Linked DNA regions of Oryzias latipes. The protein of the gene in region 2 interacts with the protein of the main gene of each other region in a biochemical or structural test. Links are inferred from orthologs where the notes say so. Each region holds a gene or a part of one and is shown on either strand. Other genes may lie near its edges.

Region 1 (4,043 bases), on a different chromosome or scaffold from region 2:
TGTATCACAAATTCTGTGCCTGCAGATCATTTTATCATGTTTTAAAATGTTTCAATGCTCAGATTGAAACGATATACTTAGGAGGAAGTCTGTCCCACTACTTAGTGATGGAAATGTCCAATCCATTAAGAGCTTAGAGAAAGGGAACATCCAACGTTTGATCACAAAATAAGGCAAAGTATTAACCAGCACCATAGAGTCTGAACTTTCAAAGATGCTCCATTTGTAAACCTTTCTAGTAACCTTGTAGCTCCTCTCCACACTCGCTGCAATTTAGAAGTTAGTATAAATGACCAGAAGGAGGCTTTTCAAAGACTTGGTTTGAACAAATCCTATATTTGTCAGTGAGTTGTTTGATCAACATGAAGTACTAGAGTTTTTTTTAATCATCAGTCCCCAGGCAGGTAACTCAAAGCCATAGTAAAACATGAAAGAGTACACTCTAAAACAGTAAATATGAGGTTTGGCTGAGTCCGTGTTGCAGGACTGCTTTGCTTGCAGACAGTCTTTGAGGTAAGTTCTCAGTCTTTTAAGTTAAAATGGTTGGCTAATACTTCCTATATAATGTGGATGTTCTGTAAAGAAATTTCACTTCATTTGCTCTGTCAGTGAATTCAGTCAATCCTTCAGAGACATCCCAAAAGTCCTCAATAATCGGATTCAAAACATATTCAGCAGTTGTGGTTGAACTACCAACCCCTAACTCGAGACTGTAAAATCAGTGAAAACATGTGCAGTTATAGTTATTTTCCTTATGTTTTAAAGAGCCAATATCTCTCGTTATTCAGGAAAACCAATTCAAAATTCCAAAGCAAGTTTTCCTGGAAGGTTTTCTTAAAAAATGATTGTGATCTGAGGTACATTTAACAGCAGCAGGCCTGAAATATCCCTGAAGCCTCTGTGACTTTGTGTCCAATTTTTAAGTGGCAATGAAAACTGGATTTCATTCTAGATTAAAAAGAAAAACAGGCTTTTATGTAGGATATGTAATGAGATATACTACTATATGTGGATAAATTATGGGCGGGAACCTCTAAGATAAAAATGACCATCCTTCTGGAAAAATATCAGTATATTTTCAAATAACAATCCCATTTTTTCCTAGCTTATTCATAAATTCAGGCTGCCTTTCCGAGCTTTTAAGAGTATTAAAATTATTGCATACACAACAATAATCTTTACAAACTCATACTAAATGCCACAATTTTAAAATACCAACAAATTGTTTTTTGCATGAGCTTTTTTAGGTCTTTCCTGAATAATTTATATCTCAACAGACTGTGTAACCCTCCTTTTCATATAATAGCATTTTTCCTTGCCTAGTTGTATCTTACTTGTACTGTATTAACCAAAAAGTTCAAACTGATGTCTAATACACAAATTATAATAGTTAAAATAATTAAGGGATATTTTATAACCATTCATTTTATTCTTTGGTAAGATTTTTTTATATCCTTAAGTAACAATGCAACAATAGTTGCTGTTCTGAAGGAAAGTGCTAATGATGTTTATCTGCAAAAGCTCAACAACCTTATATTTTTATACTGGATTCTAAACATCTGCATTCACTCAGTTATGAGGGTAACTGCCGTAAATTAAGAGAAAATGAGTCGTATCAACAGAAAATATCTTTGGCTTGCCTTATTTACATTTTCAATTCAAGCAACTAGGTTGCAGGAAGATGATCTGACTTGGCCGATGTACTTTTATTTTAAAAAACGTATTTGCTGCAGTCAAAAAACAGAAATTCTTCTTTTTTTAACACCATGATTCCACACAACACCTGGCCTGTCGTTAGTTTACTCAAACCGTAATGGTTACAAAAACAGAAATACTATAGGGTTGTAACGATTAATCCACCTTATTGATCTATAATTCTACAATCCAAACAGATGGATCTGTCTGAGACGAGTTCCTAATGGAATCAACCTATGCTGTCCTAAAACTGTTTCAAAATTAAATAAAACTCAGTACCAGGTATTTGTCTCTGAGTCACACTGACTGGTTGAAGTTTAGTTCTGGATCTATTAGGTCAGTGAATCGTTCAAAATGAACCAATAACAACTATGGATCAGATCAGCAACCACAAATTATGATATGAATTGAATCGTTCAAATAAATCATTACAGCCCTAATAAATACAAATACTAACAAAAGGTGGGCTGATGTTTTAAGGCTCCTGCTGGGTTTTGGCTGGAGAGAAGCACAAGCAGACTCAAAAACTGGATGACAACCCTCTTCTTCAAGTTCGCTCCATCCTCACCTCAAGCGCCAATCTCCAACATCCCGGGCAGGATCAAGCGGGTTTAAAAATTTGGATTACAGTGTACAAACTTTTGTAAAACAATATACGTACACAAATAAATAAGCCCTCTGTGTTTGCGTAATATGAATTGTTGTTGGCGTTACTGCATTAGAACCACAGTTGACCTTACTAACTACTATCAAGCACCGAAAAGTCTATTTTTCCTTGAATCTGCTGCTAAAATGACAGTGAATGAGTGGGTTTTTGAACCAGTGTTGTATAAACTTCGTTTATCCAACGGCAAGTCAATGCCTCTAGCTTGTTCTTGCAGCTAGTCAGCATCTAACAAACCCGGTTTATTTTAAGCACCACAACAGAAGCGATATCTTACTTTCAAACATGCAAGACTTGCTGGTAGATCCGCTTCGATGTGATGGGCCATACTTCAGAACTAACGTTCATTTGTCGAGTCTGTTTATGTTGAAATTAGCTAAAGGCGTTTGTTTCTACTCTGCAGTCCCGCTCTAAAGATCGACATTGACGTCACAGCGGAACTTCCGCGGTGCGTTCAGGGCCGTCCGGTTTCAGGTCTCGACATAAAAAAGAGTCGCATTGATCAGTATTTTATTAAACCCTTGTGCTATCTTAGATGACCCCACCCTTACATTGACGTGTTCTCCCTACCATGACAAAGGTGGATAAAGGTGGAAAGATTTCATGTAATCCATGGACACCAGTGAGGATCGAAAAAAGAAAAAAAGGTTTAGTGCACTGTCTAGTGGGTCCAGATGACCCAACTCCCAATGTTAAAGTGCTAAGGGTTAATTTCATTTATGAAGTTTAATTTTATCAAAAACACAAGTTTTACACACCATTTATAAAAATTAACCTTTTTTTTCAACCAAGTATCATTCTTAAAGTATGCTGGGGAAATAATCAACAGATCCCCCAACCCCCGTTACCTTAAAGACCCATTCCGATTAAAATCCTGTTTTTGGTGTTTTTAACGTGTTCTTGTGCCATTTTTTCTCATGGTGAGGGACATTTAGAGAAAACTAAGCTTAAAATTGCATTTCTGAGTGTTTCTTTATTCAAATCGGTGTGAATGAGGAGCAGACGGAAAAAAAGGTCACTTGTCTATAGCTGCGTTTACATGGGCAAAAGTAATCGGAAAGAACGCCTGATCGGAAGGAAAATGCGTCATGTAAACGCGCCGTTCGGAATAGTGTGCCCCAATCAGACTCGTTCGGATCAAAATTTCTCTTCGATCGAGATAGGTGGGTTAGGCCGATCGTTTATTCGATCGTTGATCATGTAAACGGTCATTCCGATCGTGTGTCACTACTGCTCTGGTTTACGTCATGCATAGATGGTGTTTTGCTGAGAGAAAGCTTAGGAGCTCATAGGGGACCGACCAGCTGCTCTGCGGACGCCCTGTGAAAAGCGCCACTCCACTCTAGCCCCGCTTTTTTTTTTGTGTTTCCAGTTGTGTCCCGACTAAATAAAGGCTGATGTTATTCCCACACATTTACGTGCAGCCAAGATGCAGATTGCAGCGTTTCCCGTATGGTCCTGGCTTTTGTGTCCATCAAGGCTAATGTTGTTAGCCCGTGTTAGCCTCTCCTAACACTGGCTTCTTCCAGCTCCGTTCTTCGACAAAAAAAGCACTGACCACACGGATTAAATAAAAAGATAAGCGAACAGGCGCTTCATAACATTCATAACATTAATAAAAGCACGTTTTGAAGATCGTCTCGCATATTACCGAGCTGCTGCACAAAATAAATGTCTGTGGCAG
Region 2 (4,141 bases):
AACAAACATTTCATGTCGTTAAATCCAGTTACCTCCTCTGCAGTTAGTGGGACAGTCACTCCTTTTTTGGATGAAAAAGCACGAGCGCCTGAAATGCTGTTGGTTTTCTGACCTGAAAGGAAGCAAATAATAGTAAAACCAGACGTGTCTGGAGCATCCACAGACGTTCCTGAAAGACTCAGGCATACCTGCTAATTTGTTTCCGTCTGAGTTCAGTTTGAATCCTCGCCGTTCCATGTTTTCCAGGACTGCATTTTTGTTCTCTTCTTTCCCCCAAAAGGACAAAATGACCGGCATGGTGAACGAGTTGTTTTTTCCGTAAGGTACGACCCTGACAACCACACAGGCAGCGGCGCTCATATCAACTCATTTATGTTCTGTTTTCATCTAAAAGTCAATTTAAAAACAAAACGACAAAAAACCTAATATACATTAAATAAATGAACAATCACAACTAACGTTTGGTGTTCAACAAGAACCCTAATGTTATAGGATGTCTTTCAGAACTGAAAAGCAATATACTTTTATATTTTCAATTTCACAATTTCTTATTTGGTCTAAAATTACAGAAAAGGATTAGGGCCATAGAGAAAGAAAAAAAAAGGGCAAAGAAAATTCTGACGTTAATTGCAGTATTGTGACTTTTTTTCCTCCAATTATTGGATAAAAGTACATCAAAAGAAAATGTAATAACGTATACATGATAAGAAAAAAACAGAAGGAGAAAGAATACGGTAAAAAAAAAAACAACAACATCAAATCTTAAAATTTAAAAAAAAAACTAAAATTTAACTCTTCTTGCTTTAAGAATGAATTATTGAAAAACAAAACAAAATCATGATTTTATAATGTTCTACTAATGAGACATTTACAAATTAGAATAAAACGAGATTTGCAATTCTGTTTATCCATTTTACGGCAAAGTTATGCCGAGACAGAAAAAACTGGCAAATAACCAGAAAAGGCATCAATTCCTGTTGTTACAACCTTTAAAGACCCATTTTGATCTGCTTTCAAAGGGTTTCTAGTGGTCTTTTAATTATGATTATGCTGTTTTTAGCCAAATTCAAAAAAACTTTGTTTATCAGAAATTCCCCTACGAGTTGTCGGTGGAACCATTGGCGTGGAGTAAGCCCACCCTCATTTCCCATCATCCCACTGTTTACACTCTCTCCTGCTACCTTATGTCTCCCAACACCCCCAACCATTACCAGTGCGACAAAAAGGGGATACAGTCGTACAGTTTGGAGGGAGACGTCAGCTCGGATGAGGAAAACAAAGACGTACATGGATCTGTTACTCTGCAGGTGGATGCATCAGAATGCAGTAAATAGGTTCCACATCACAGCTACAAGCTTCTTCAAATGGCACCTTTTCATATTTTTTCTATTTAATATTGAGAAATGCCTAATTTAAGCCTAATTTTCTTTATTGATGTCCTCCATCATCAAAAAAAATACCAAAAGGACATGTTAAAAAACTCCCCAACACACAACTTTCATCAGAGTGGGTCTTTAAAAACTTTTCCAAATTTTATGGAAAGCTCTGAACGTATGAGGAGAAAACCTAAGCGACACAGTGACCGCACCATGACACTCACCCCTCCACTTTAGCCAGGTTGTTGTCCATGACATGGGCCATGGCTGCAGCCAGTTCCCTCTTGATGTGTCCCACCTGGTTGCCATAAACGTTTGCAACCATCACTGCATTGCAGTCGTATGGGTTATGAGGTTCTCGCACCAAGCCCACCATCTCACCCTGGTTCACCTGTCCAGAGAAGAAACCCTCTGAAATGTAGGAGTATTTTTTATGTGTGTGTGTGGAAGAGACAGTCTGACCCTTACCACGCCTGTGTAATATCTGAGGCCCACCACAGAACCCCTCAGGTGGCCGAACAGCACGCTGCCGTCAGCATCCGCCGGCTCTTCGGACGCTGCAGCTCTGATGGCCTGGGACAAAGTCTCATGGCTGTCTGTGAAGAGGTCCACGTCAACGAACCTGCCCCATCCAGACCTCCACCTGTGGGAAAGCATACCTGCAGACAAAAAAAGACGGCAAAGATGAAGAGTTCTGTAACAAAATAAGGCAGTATTTATTTTATATTTTTCAGAAATAAATTATTCTGTATGTAAATAGTATTGAATCCTGCACTAACCAAAAAGCTTCTAGAACAGTTGAAACATGGTCACATTTGAGACTTTAGCAGAATCCTTTACCTATTTTATTTTTTAATCTGTTTTATCTTGCTATTATAATGGCTTTTTTGACATTTTTGATAATTTTCCTGGCAAATGTGAAACTTTTGGCATTTGCACATACTAGTATGGATTGTAATGTGTGATATTCTGTATGTGCAATATTTGTTAATAAAGTTTTTTTTTATTTAAAAAAAATGATGGTTCTGTGGAAACTAACAGTTGCAGGCAGCGGTGCACAACTTAAATTAACTTTCTGCTAGCTCTCATGTTGGAGGTGAGATGTATAGAAGCTTCATACTACTTTGTAGTTTAATTTTCGTTTCAACTACAGTTTTCGAGAAAACGAAACACAGCCATTCTTATGGAAAGTAAAGTAGGTAAGTGTTACTAAGCTAGCACGCGCCGTTTGTTCTCGTGCTAACGGAAGAACACAGAATGTAATAAATATCAGCATATAATAACGAGGCCTTACTTTCGATCTTCCTTCAGTGTTGATAGTTTTTGTACGGTTTCCCTGCAAGTATCCTGCTATCAACTGCGACACAATGTTCACAGCACTTTCAAATGAAACACATCTGCGCCTAGAATAATCCTTCCGTTGTTAACTTTCAAAATAAAACCCAATGACATGCTTTTTGGTGTTATTTTTATTTTTTTATTTGTTTGTTATAGCTGCTTGATGTAGAACTTTGTATAATATAAGAATTTAATTCTGAAGTTGATAATAAAAGTTTTGGTAAGTGCAGTATGTTATCAATCTTTTATGTGGATGCACTGGCAGCAGTCGTCATTTATCCTGTCTTTGCATTACAATGTCATTTTTAGTATGGTTTTATTTTTGTTTTTTTCCATAATTATCAAAAATGAAGATTGTATCTGCATTACATTATTATCACTATTTAATTTATTTTATAAAAACAGTACACCGGGCTCCTGAAGGTATACTTCATCAGTGTACTTCATCAGTTATATTTCATAGTTCATAGTTATAACATAGTTATATTTTTCATACACAAAGAGAGATTTATCATGATTTGATATGGTAGATATAGAAATATTTGCACAAAAATGTAAAGCTTGTGCAACATAAAGACAACAAATTCAACATTTTATGAAATTATAATTCAGATTATATATACTGTGAGCTATTATTGTGTGTTTTTTAGGTGTATTTTTGAGCTCTTAATGATAAAAAACAACGACCCTCAATTATTCATGTTGGATATTTTGTTTTGAAAATCTAAAGAATCCAACTTGTTGGTTCCGTTGAGGTCAACACACATGCGCAGTGCATATCTGTTTGAAGATACACTTTAGTTCTTCGTAATCGTTCTTTCACCGATGTTGTTTGGAATTATATTGATTATATCTTTCTCTGCGCGAGTTTCATATGCATTGCATTTAGCTAAATTCAGGGAAAAGTATTTACATTTTTAATTTTGATTAAATGTGAGCGCTACGGGTGCCGCTAGGTCCCGAATCCTCATGTTTGTGCGAGGTTCCGCTTCCTCTTCTCTCCACCAGGTTCCTCCTTGGACCGAACGAAGCACAGAGTGCCGGGAGAGAAAAAACGACAAAAGTCCACCGTGTCTGAGAAACCGCCGTTTCTCTTGACGAACGTGGAAGTCTTCGCGAAATCTCCGGCTCAAATCTGGATTTATAGTCGGATTCAAAGTAAGTAAGCCACTGGAGAACGTTTGAGGATTTACCCAGACAGACAGAGCAGAAATTCAAATTACGACCTGCAGATACTTGTTGGCACAACACAGGTGAGCTCTATAGTTTATATGAGTTATTGGATCACTTTTACTGTCACTTTGTTGGGACTTCCTTTCTCTTCCACTTGTAAAGAAACCAACTTATCGATCTGTTGAGTAGTAACTTAGTTAAGTGAAATCAGTTCGGTGAAATGATCCCTGCTCATACTTTTTTTTTGCAGTATT

What was found.
Region 1: the proteins of hltf (region 2) and rad18 form a complex in vitro, tested with the Homo sapiens proteins (2 studies listed by BioGRID). The link is inferred for Oryzias latipes from reciprocal best matches to the Homo sapiens genes HLTF and RAD18.

What each region holds. Positions count from the first base shown.
Region 1 is NC_019863.2:2,756,184-2,760,226, reverse strand, and holds the start of rad18 (E3 ubiquitin-protein ligase RAD18), read right to left. Parts: upstream 2,801-4,043; 5' UTR 2,688-2,800; coding exon 2,637-2,687; intron 1-2,636. UniProt on the Homo sapiens protein: E3 ubiquitin-protein ligase involved in postreplication repair of UV-damaged DNA. Postreplication repair functions in gap-filling of a daughter strand on replication of damaged DNA.
Region 2 is NC_019880.2:5,878,504-5,882,644, forward strand, and holds the start of hltf (helicase-like transcription factor), read right to left. Parts: upstream 2,801-4,141; 5' UTR 2,671-2,800; intron 2,036-2,670; 5' UTR 2,034-2,035; coding exon 1,845-2,033; intron 1,768-1,844; coding exon 1,601-1,767; intron 332-1,600; coding exon 189-331; intron 113-188; coding exon 33-112; intron 1-32. UniProt on the Homo sapiens protein: Has both helicase and E3 ubiquitin ligase activities. Possesses intrinsic ATP-dependent nucleosome-remodeling activity; This activity may be required for transcriptional activation or repression of specific target promoters.